Xenopus tropicalis: one gene and its partner. The protein of the gene in region 1 interacts with the protein of each later gene in a biochemical or structural test. Links are inferred from orthologs where the notes say so. Each region holds a gene or a part of one and is shown on either strand. Other genes may lie near its edges.

What was found. The genes of interacting proteins can lie anywhere in the genome.
Region 2: the proteins of dnm1l (region 1) and fis1 form a complex in vitro, tested with the Homo sapiens proteins (2 studies listed by BioGRID). The link is inferred for Xenopus tropicalis from reciprocal best matches to the Homo sapiens genes DNM1L and FIS1.

The regions. Positions count from the first base shown.
Region 1 is NC_030679.2:4,783,750-4,789,463, reverse strand, and holds part of dnm1l (dynamin-1-like protein), read left to right. Parts: intron 1-158; coding exon 159-290; intron 291-822; coding exon 823-1,029; intron 1,030-1,984; coding exon 1,985-2,105; intron 2,106-2,193; coding exon 2,194-2,349; intron 2,350-3,525; coding exon 3,526-3,615; intron 3,616-3,715; coding exon 3,716-3,808; intron 3,809-5,329; coding exon 5,330-5,380; intron 5,381-5,714. UniProt on the Homo sapiens protein: Functions in mitochondrial and peroxisomal division.
Region 2 is NC_030679.2:148,612,497-148,618,688, reverse strand, and holds the start of fis1 (mitochondrial fission 1 protein), read left to right. Parts: upstream 1-2,228; 5' UTR 2,229-2,231; coding exon 2,232-2,276; intron 2,277-6,192. UniProt on the Homo sapiens protein: Involved in the fragmentation of the mitochondrial network and its perinuclear clustering. Plays a minor role in the recruitment and association of the fission mediator dynamin-related protein 1 (DNM1L) to the mitochondrial surface and mitochondrial fission.

The DNA.
Region 1 (5,714 bases):
TGAAAAAAAAGAGAATTTCCGATTGGTTGCTATGGATTGCACCCCATATAATGAGAGCCAGTCGCCATTTATTTCTCGGAATGGGGCTGAGCTATTGGCTGGAGAAAGGCAATAGCTTCATATGGTGAGAACCCTAATTATTGATTTCTAATTCAAAGGAGCCAGTTGGACATTAATAACAAAAAGAGCGTGGCCGACTCTATCCGGGATGAGTACGGGTTCCTGCAGAAGAAATACCCCTCCCTGGCAAACAGGAACGGAACCAAATATCTTGCACGGACTCTTAACAGGTAACGCTTCCTTCCAAAATGGCCACCATTAGGTTAACTTTTAGTATATTACAGAATGGCCTCTTCTTAGCAAGTTTTCAATTGGTCTTTATTTTTCATTCTTTATAGTTTTTGAATTCTTTTCCTTCCTCTTCTGCCTCTTTCCTGCTCTCAAATGGGAGTCACTGACCCCGGCAGCCAAAAACCTATTCCTACAGTTTTATTGTCACTTATTTTATATTTAGGCCTTCCTCTATCCATATTCCCGTGTCTAATTCAAGCCACTGCCTGGTTGCTAGGTAAAATTGGACCCTAGCAACCTGATAGCTGCTTGAAATTCCAAACTGGAGAGCTGCTGAATAAAAAGCTAAATATTTCTAAAACGGCAAATAATAAAAAATGAAGACCAATTGCAGTTTGTCTTTAAAGGTGAACCACCCCTTTAATGCCTGCTCTGGGTAACAGCAATGGAATCTGGGAGGTATTACTCGGTACAACTATATGTTGGCAGCAAGAGGATAAAATGCCCCATATGTATATGCCGTGTCTGTAGGCTACTGATGCACCACATCCGCGACTGTCTGCCGGAGCTGAAGACCAGAATCAACGTCCTGGCCGCCCAGTACCAGTCCCTGCTGAACAGCTACGGGGAACCCGTGGAAGACAAGAGCGCCACGTTACTGCAGCTCATTACTAAGTTTGCCACAGAGTATTGCAACACCATCGAAGGAACAGCAAAATACATAGAAACCTCTGAACTGTAAGTAGTGTGGGGGCGGGGTAAGTAAGTTACAATCATTGGAGGGTGGTTTAGTTACTTCCATGTCTAGCGTGAATCTCCACCCCTTTTGCTTTCTGATCCCTCCTTCTCTCTCCAACTAAGACCCCCAAAGAGGTGCCTACTGAGCATGCTTGCTGCCTTTGGTCAAGTTAAAATCAATCAGGCATACGCAATAGGCACCTCTGTGGGGTCTTGAGGTCCCCATACACGGGCCGATTGTAGCTGCCGATATTGGTCCCTTGGACTGATTCGGCATCTTATCGGCCCGTGTAGGGGCAGAAACGAAGGCCATGCCCGACCAATATCTGGCCTAAAATTGGCCAGATATCGATCGGGCATGTTAAAAGATTCAGTCGGATTGGGGAACGCGTCGGCTTGTTGATGCAGTCCCCGAAGCGACTGCCCCATTGCCGCCAATATAATTCGATCGTTTGGCCCCAGGGCCAAATGACCGAATTAGCCTACACATTCCCCGATATCGCCCACCCGTAGGTGGGGATATCGGGTGAAGATCCGCTCACTTGGCAATCTCGCCAAGCGAGCGAATCTTCACGTGTATGGGGGACCTTTAGTAGGAGAGAGAGAAGCAGGGCTCAGAAAGCAAAAGGTGCGGAGATTCACGCTAGACACGGAAGTAACTAAAAGAGCTGCGGTCCAGCCGCTTGTAATAGAGCAACAAATTGAATCTGTGTGGGGATTAAGGTGAGTTATTCTAGTTATTTCGTTATTTTAGAGATTTATTTTAGGGATTTAAAGTTTACTTATCCTTGAATGATAAGTGGGTGGGGCCTGTATGAAGGAGATATTCTTAATATCCAGGTCATTTTTGCTTTCACTGATTCATTTATACAATGTAGTTGTGCTTCAAAGCCACTTCCCATTTTAACCCATTCACGGCAAGACCCCCTTGAGCTATCGCTTTGCATATAAACAGGTGCGGAGGGGCTCGCATCTGCTACATCTTCCACGAGACGTTCGGAAGGACGCTGGAATCCGTAGACCCGCTGGGCGGCCTCACCACCATCGATATCCTTACGGCCATTAGAAACGCAACGGTGAGCCGTTTGCCCGGCGATTATCGCTTTATCGGGGGGTGCCAATGGCTTTGGGGGTAACCATTTCCTGTTTTGTCTCTGTGTATAGGGCCCCCGGCCGGCCTTGTTTGTGCCGGAGGTCTCCTTCGAGCTGCTGGTGAAGAGACAGGTGAAACGGCTGGAGGAGCCGAGTTTGCGCTGCGTGGAGCTGGTCCATGAGGAGATGCAGAGGATAATCCAGCACTGCAGTAACTACAGCACGCAGGTAGCAACGCTCGGCTTTCTACAACACAATGTCACATTGTAGGGGCGTTCGATTACAGGTGCTCAGTGTCCTGCTGATGGTCGGGCACTGGCGGGTACCCTGCAGGTTCCGGGTAGGATATTCAGATGTGGGTATAGATGCTGGTTGGTAGGTTCTGAGTCTTAAGGTCGCCAAGCGAGCGGATCTTCTCCCGATATCCCCCACCTATGGGTGGGCAATATCGGGAGAATCGAGGGTCAAACTATAAACAATTATAACGACGGGTATAGGTAAAGTTGGTCCAGGGGCCACATCAACGAGACGATGCGGTCCCCGATACGACTAGATTTTCTAACCTGCCCGATCGAGATTTGGCCCCGATGTCGGACAGGCCTGACGGTAGTGCCCATACACGGGCCGATTAGCTGTCGAATTGGTCCAAGGGACCCATATCGGCAGCTACTATCAGCCCGTGTATGGGGACCTTTACCCATATTATCTATATTTTTTTTTTTTTCTGCCATTGCCCATTTTTGATGATGTCACTTCTGGCCAAATCCTTCTGGGTGGGTTTTGGGGTTTGGCCGAACCCAAAAAAGTGGGGTTCGGTGCATCCCTAGTTATGGGTCTGTATTAGTGATGTGCTGGTTGACCCACACCCAATCGTAACCCATCTGCTCCCAACCCGAACCCTACCCAGCTTCTGCCCTGTTTTTATAGACCCGCCCCCGCCTGCAATGATGTCACAAAAGGGGCGTGCCTATAAATTCAGAAGCTGGAAAAAGGCAGCTGGCAGAGCTCAACCCAAACCCACCCGCAAGTGATGTGCCGAGGTTGTCCCGAACCCCCCCCCCGTAGGTGTCTGGCCGGCCCACACAGTACTAGTCGGCATGTCCGGGTCGGGTCCAGGTCTCATAAATTGGTTCCACACATGACTCTCTAGGTCGGGGATCGTCAACATTTTTAAACAGGGGGCCACAGACTGTTGGGGGGCCAGACTATAGTTAGTCCTCAAACTACAGCCCCCCTGCTCCCCACTGTGTCCTCACCCCTGGCTACTACCTCTCTGCCTCAGCGCGGCCCTCAGCCCCAGTGCGTCACACAGGCCGTAGTTTGGGGACCCCTGCTCTAGGTCGTCCAATAGAAATCATTATCAATAGAACGGGGTCTGTAGCCGCCATGTTATTCACCTTTCAGGAGCTGCTGAGGTTCCCGAAGCTTCACGATGCCATAGTCGAGGTGGTTACGAGTCTCCTGCGGAAGCGACTGCCGGTTACTAATGAGATGGTAAGAGACGAAGCGCTCGCCCTTTGCCCACTGCACCTTCTACCCCGATGCCCTTTTGCAGATTTTTAACCCCTTATGACACCCGGTTGTTGGCGTGCAGGTACATAACTTGGTGGCCATCGAACTCGCCTACATCAACACCAAACACCCGGACTTTGCCGATGCCTGCGGGCTGATGAATAACAATATAGAGGTAAGTGCATTCAGGGTTTCATACCCCAGTACAGTAATGGAACTTATTACCCAGAATGCTCGGTACCTGGGGGCTGTTCTGGATAAGGGGGCTTTCCATAAGTAGGATCTCCATACCTTAAGTCTGCAGCTGGACTTTTTTGCACCAATAAGAATGACCTATATATGTAAAGGTCGGGGGGGGGGGGGTTACCATTAAATTACTTAACTATGTAGTAAAACTGCCAATTCTAAGCAACTTTTCAATTGGTCTTCATTACTTATTTTGTATAGTTTTTGAATTATTTGCCTCCTTCTGACTCTTTGCAGCTTTCAAATGGGGGTCACTGACCCCGGCAGCCAAACCCTATTGCTCTGTGAGGCTCCAGTTTTATTGTTATTGTTACTTTTTATTCCTTATCTTTCTATTCAGCCCCTCCTCTATTCATATTCCTGTCTCTCATTCACACCACTCCCTGGTTGCTAAGGTAATTTGAGCCCTAGCAACAGGATAACTGACCCCGGCAGCCAAACCCTATTGCTCTGTGAGGCTCCAGTTTTATTGTTATTGTTACTTTTTATTCCTTATCTTTCTATTCAGCCCCTCCTCTATTCATATTCCTGTCTCTCATTCACACCACTCCCTGGTTGCTAAGGTAATTTGAGCCCTAGCAACAGGATAACTGACCCCCGGCAGCCAAAACCTATTGCTCTGTGAGGCTCCAGTTTTATTGTTATTGTTACTTTTTATTCCTTATCTTTCTATTCAGCCCCTCCCCTATTCATATTCCTGGCTCTCATCCAATCAACTCCCTGGTTGCAAAGGTAATTTGAGCCCTAGCAACAGGATAACTGACCCCGGCAGCCAAACCCTATTGCTCTGTGAGGCTCCAGTTTTATTGTTATTGTTACTTTTTATTCCTTATCTTTCTATTCAGCCCCTCCCCTATTCATCTACCCGTCTCTTATTCCAATCACTCCCTGGTTGCTAAGGTAATTTGAGCCCTAGCAACAGGATGACTGACCCCGGCAGCCAAAACCTATTGCTCTGTGAGGCTCCAGTTTTATTGTTATTGTTACTTTTTATTCCTTATCTTTCTATTCAGCCCCTCCTCCTTTTCATATACCAGTCTCACATTGCTGGTTGCTAAGGTCATTTGGACCCTGGCAACCAGATAACAGCTACAAATTCCAAACTGAAGAGTTGCTGAACAAATATTAAAATCAATTTAAAAACCACAAATAATACAAAAATGAAGACCAATTGCAAACTGTCTCAGAATATCCCTCTGCATCATACTAAAAGTTAACTCATTAGGGTCGAGTACAAGGTACTGTTACAGAGAAAAAGGAAATAATTTAAAAAATAAGAATTATTTGATGAAAATGGAGTCTATGGGAGATGGCCTTCCTGTAATTCGGGGCTTTCTGGATAATGGATCCCGTACCTGTATGGTGTGTTGCTATATGTTGTTATGGTCCATGTACACAAATACAAGTGCTGTTCAACCAATCAGAATCTGTTGTACTTTCAAACCCACAGGAACAGCGGCGGAACAGAATCGCTCGGGAGTTGCCTCCGCCCAGGGAAAAGGTGAATAAAAGGGGGAATTTTGATGCACAAAGGCCGGCTGCTTACACGTCTCTACTAACGGAGGTGGCAGCTGATTGGCCCATGGACGGGGCCCCACAGATATCTGGCCAGATAACTATTGGATAAGGACAGGTCTCTATAGACTCCGATCATTGGCCGGGGGCAACTTGTCTAATACCAACCCCTTGTCTGCCCCTGTGAGGTTTAGGGCCACGGCCCACAGGGAGATTAGTTGCCCGCCATGGCCCTTAGGCTGAGATAATATTGGGTAAACAGTCGCTATGTCCAGCCCTTACCCGCACATCGCCATTACTGCTCTGCCAGTGTAGGGCAA
Region 2 (6,192 bases), about 140 Mb from region 1:
CTAGACGAAGCAAAGTTTACTCTAATGAATCACATTGTGTGGGCAAGCGAAGACTTCTACATCCAACGTCTCCATAATGAAACCAGATGCTCGTCTACCAGTGGTTTCAGCTACCTCAGAGCAGGTTTTCGAGGTATATGGGGCTGGTGGGCTATTTATGTTGAACATGTTGAACATCCTTCTGCTTTCCTGGCGATTGGCAGCTGGGTAAACATTTACAAGGCATATTTTTGAGCATCATTTCCGCCTAAGGCCTTTTCCACACACCCCCGTGCATGTAGGTGTAACTGCCCCATGTAGTTCATCTTCCTTCCCCACCACCATGCTGTGGGAGGGGAGGAGGGCACTTGGTAAGCCATGGGGGTAGACCTGGATGGAGGGCTGCTAAATGCTGGTCGATGCCACATTCAGAACATTTAACAATTAGTGATGAGTGAATCTGTCCCATTTAATAGGCAACATTTTTTATGAGCAACTTTTTTTCTTACTCCATGTTTTTTAAGGTCCAACAATAAAGAATGGATTATGGATTTTTAATTCATATCATTTGGAGGTGTGGCTTATGTTGTGCTTAATGTACGCGGGGCCGACCCCTGTGAATATACGGACTGTGACAGAGGGGGGACGGACAGACACATACATAATATATAGAATAAGCCCATCCCTGCTCAAAGCAATATGACTTGGCACCACTAGATGGCAGCACTGTACTATAAATTAAAGGGGCAGTATCCCTCTAATACACCTTTCCTAGCAACGGGCACAATAAAAATGTTGAAATTACATTCTGCTTATTGTTTTAATCAAAAAAAAAATTTGGTTTCCCCCCCGCGGTGGGGGGGGTTGGATGGGGCAATGACCAGGGGTGGTCTCGGGGCGCCCAGTTTGGAAATCCGGCCCTGAACATTGTGCTATATGACATTAACCCCTACCGGTATTTTATAAACAGGGAAAATGGTTCGGAGCCCCCCTTCTACCTTTAACCCAACAAACCTCTCTCTTATCTAAGCAGCAGCCTTTCGAGCAGCTCATTATCGGGGCTTCTCAGTGGACTGGGAATTCGTTTTATTAGTTCCTTTGCAAGTTCTGTGGGACAGGGAGTGACAGGAAGTGCTAAAGAGAAAAGACCCAAGGGGACCAAAACTGAATCACAGATACAATTGGTTTAACCCAGGCAATGGAACTTTCCAAAAACACTGGGTGGGGGGGGGGGGCAATTAATAATGCTTAGGGCATAATTTGGCCTCATATTGTGTGAAATAAGATGAGATTGTATAACAGGGGCAGGGGTGCTGGAGTCTAACAGGGATATATTTATTATAGTGTGTAACCATCCCCAGGGATGCTGCCCATAGCAACCAATCAGATCTTTGTTTTTGTTTAATAACTTGACTGTTCAATTCTAATTGCTGATTGGTTGCTATGGGCAAGCTCTCCAGTGATGTTTGCTTACATACTATAAAAACTGTGCCCCTGGACCAATCACAGAGCTGCCCAAATGTAACGGTGCTAGCGACCCAGTAACTAAGCAACTAGGGCTAAAACATTACGCAAAGCAGAGTTGATTAACTTGCAGTATGCACAATATAGATAAGGCTGCAAGGGCCAATAGGATGCACCGACTGCGGGGTTGCCAGAATTCTGCCAGTCAGGTCTAAAACCAGCCCAAAACTAGCCAAAAGCCACTTTGAAAGTAGCCCAAAAATAGCCCAATGTGCGCAATGAAAAACAATTCTAAATTCCAAAGCAGGCTGTAGACAGGTTGAGCCTGAATAGAATAGAAATGGGAGCCTCTGTCTATACTGTCCAACTGCATCCTGGGTATTGTAGTTTTATATTAATCCGAGCTGTAGGCTAATTGTTAGATACAAACTACATTACCCAGCATGCAGTGGGACAGGCATACTAGGTTCCAAACTACAAACCCGCCAAGGCTCCAAAAAATAGCCTAAACTGTACTTTGGCGGGTTTGTACTTTGGAAACCTGCAGGGGCTGTAAATTAGTAGCCCAATTTGGTGGGAAAACCGCCATCCCTGACTGACTGGCACTGTGCGCGGCTTTCCCAGTTAATAGGTAGGCGCCGTGATAAGCACTCGCCCTCAACAAACATGGCGGCGCCAGCGGTTTTGTAGCAAACGGAACTTCCCAAATGAAAGATGGCGGGCGGAAGGCAGGGCCTATAGGCAGAGCTTGGGAGTCAGCTGACAGTGCGCTTCCTGTCGGGGTGAGGATGGAGGCCGTGCTGTCCGATCCGGTGGATACGGGGGATCTGTTGGTAAGGGGGGGGGTGTCTGTCCGACTGGTGTCTCACAGGGGTTTCCTGTCTCACTGTGGGAAGCCGCCCTGTCACTGTGTCCCCTGGGCCTGAACTCGCCCTGTCAGACTGGCTCATATTGATGATGTCATAGCCCCGGGGCGTGCGTGTAAGTGACGTTACTTTCGTTACTTTGTGGGGCATGACGTCATGGGAAGGGAACTCAGTTTGTGGCTGATTTTATACTGTGTGTGTGGGAAGGTGTCACAGCTTGGAATTGTTCTTGTGTTTGTGCGTGATGTCACGGGGGGCTGGGTGCCTGTGGGTGATGTCACAGGGGGGCTGGGTGCCTGTGGGTGATGTCACAGGGGGGCTGGGTGCCTGTGGGTGATGTCACAGGGGGGCTGGGTGCCTGTGGGTGATGTCACAGGGGGCTGGGTGCCTGTGGGTGATGTCACAGGGGGGGTGGGTGCCTGTGGGTGATGTCACAGGGGGGCTGGGTGCCTGTGCGTGATGTCGCGGGGGGTGGGTGCCTGTGGGTGATGTCACAGGGGGGGTGGGTGCCTGTGGGTGATGTCACAGCGGGGCTGGGTGCCTGTGGGTGATGTCAGGGGGGGCTGGGTGCCTGTGGGTGATGTCACAGGGGGGCTGGGTGCCTGTGGGTGATGTCAGGGGGGGCTGGGTGCCTGTGGGTGATGTCACAGGGGGGTGGGTGCCTGTGGGTGATGTCACAGCGGGGCTGGGTGCCTGTGGGTGATGTCACAGGGGGGGTGGGTGCCTGTGGGTGATGTCACAGGGGGGCTGGGTGCCTGTGGGTGATGTCAGGGGGGGCTGGGTGCCTGTGGGTGATGTCAGGGGGGGCTGGGTGCCTGTGGGTGATGTGTCAGGGGGGGCTGGGTGCCTGTGGGTGATGTCACAGGGGGGGCTGGGTGCCTGTGGGTGATGTCACAGGGGGGGCTGGGTGCCTGTGGGTGATGTCACAGGGGGGGCTGGGTGCCTGGGGGTGATGTCAGGGGGGGCTGGGTGCCTGGGGGTGATGTCAGGGGGGGCTGGGTGCCTGGGGGTGATGTCACAGGGGGGGGCTGGGTGCCTGTGGGTGATGTCACAGGGGGGGCTGGGTGCCTATACACACAGGGGCAGAGGGGCACTCACACTATAACAACAGAAGGCTCAGTGACTGTTAGAGGCCCCGCCCCCGCATGTCCCACTGTTGAATTCCCACCCTTACATTGGCTGATTTGATACCAACCTTGCCAACCATTCATATCTGTACGTGTAGCAACGGCGCCATTTTGCCAACCACTGACATCACAACTCAGCGTGTCCCTACCAATCAGATATGGGTGCCACCCAGCCAATCACAGACGTGCGTCCCGCAGCTCTGCTCCTGCCCTGTTACTGGGGATCTGGCTCAGAGCTCATTACAGCAAATGCTTTATAACCTTGCCAACCATTACATGTCCCCTGCAGGGCACCATCACCTTGCCAACCATTACATGTCCCCTGCAGGGCACCACCATCTTGCCAACCATTACATGTCCCCTGCAGGGCACCATCACCTTGCCAACCATTACATGTCCCCTGCAGGGCACCATCACCTTGCCAACCATTACATGTCCCCTGCAGGGCACCACCATCTTGCCAACCATTACATGTCCCCTGCAGGGCACCACCACCTTGCCAACCATTACATGTCCCCTGCAGGGCACCATCACCTTGCCAACCATTACATGTCCCCTGCAGGGCACCACCACCTTGCCAACCATTACATGTCCCCTGCAGGGCACCATCACCTTGCCAACCATTACATGTCCCCTGCAGGGCACCATCTTGCCAACCATTACATGTCCCCTGCAGGGCACCATCACCTTGCCAACCATTACATGTCCCCTGCAGGGCACCATCACCTTGCCAACCATTACATGTCCCCTGCAGGGCACCATCACTTTGCCAACCATTACATGTCCCCTGCAGGGCACCATCACCTTGCCAACCATTACATGTCCCCTGCAGGGCACCATCACCTTGCCAACCATTACATGTCCCCTGCAGGGCACCATCACCTTGCCAACCATTACATGTCCCCTACAGGGCACCATCACCTTGCCAACCATTACATGTCCCCTGCAGGGCACCATCACCTTGCCAACCATTACATGTCCCCTGCAGGGCACCATCTTGCCAACCATTACATGTCCCCTGCAGGGCACCATCACCTTGCCAACCATTACATGTCCCCTGCAGGGCACCATCACCTTGCCAACCATTACATGTCCCCTGCAGGGCACCACCACCTTGCCAACCATTACATGTCCCCTGCAGGGCACCATCACCTTGCCAACCATTACATGTCCCCTGCAGGGCACCACCATCTTGCCAACCATTACATGTCCCCTGCAGGGCACCATCACCTTGCCAACCATTACATGTCCCCTGCAGGGCACCACCACCTTGCCAACCATTACATGTCCCCTGCAGGGCACCATCACCTTGCCAACCATTACATGTCCCCTGCAGGGCACCATCTTGCCAACCATTACATGTCCCCTGCAGGGCACCATCACCTTGCCAACCATTACATGTCCCCTGCAGGGCACCATCACCTTGCCAACCATTACATGTCCCCTGCAGGGCACCACCATCTTGCCAACCATTACATGTCCCCTGCAGGGCACCATCACCTTGCCAACCATTACATGTCCCCTGCAGGGCACCACCACCTTGCCAACCATTACATGTCCCCTGCAGGGCACCATCACCTTGCCAACCATTACATGTCCCCTGCAGGGCACCATCACCTTGCCAACCATTACATGTCCCCTGCAGGGCACCATCACCTTGCCAACCATTACATGTCCCCTGCAGGGCACCATCACCTTGCCAACCATTACATGTCCCCTGCAGGGCACCATCACTTTGCCAACCATTACATGTCCCCTGCAGGGCACCATCACCTTGCCAACCATTACATGTCCCCTGCAGGGCACCATCACCTTGCCAACCATTACATGTCCCCTACAGGGCACCATCACCTTGCCAACCATTACATGTCCCCTGCAGGGCACCATCACCTTGCCAACCATTACATGTCCCCTGCAGGGCACCATCTTGCCAACCATTACATGTCCCCTGCAGGGCACCATCACCTTGCCAACCATTACATGTCCCCTGCAGGGCACCATCACCATGCCAACCTTTACATGTCCCCTGCAGGGCACCATCTTGCCAACCATTACATGTCCCCTGCAGGGCACCATCATCTTGCCAACCATTACATGTCCCCTGCAGGGCACCATCACCTTGCCAACCATTACATGTCCCCTGCAGGGCACCATCACCTTGCCAACCATTACATGTCCCCTGCAGGGCACCATCACCTTGCCAACCATTACATGTCCCCTGCTGGGCACCATCACCTTGCCAACCATTACATGTCCCCTGCAGGGCACCATCTTGCCAACCATTACATGTCCCCTGCAGGGCACCATCATCTTGCCAACCATTACATGTCCCCTGCAGGGCACCATCACCTTGCCAACCTTTACATGTCCCCTGCAGGGCACCATCTTGCCAACCTTTACATGTCCCCTGCTGGGCACCATCTTGCCAACCATTACATGTCCCCTGCAGGGCACCATCACCTTGCCAACCATTACATGTCCCCTGCAGGGCACCATCACCTTGCCAACCATTACATGTCCCCTGCAGGGCACCATCACCTTGCCAACCATTACATGTCCCCTGCTGGGCACCATCACCTTGCCAACCATTACATGTCCCCTGCAGGGCACCATCACCTTGCCAACCATTACATGTCCCCTGCAGGGCACCATCACCTTGCCAACCATTACATGTCCCCTGCTGGGCACCATCACCTTGCCAACCATTACATGTCCCCTGCAGGGCACCATCACCTTGCCAACCATTACATGTCCCC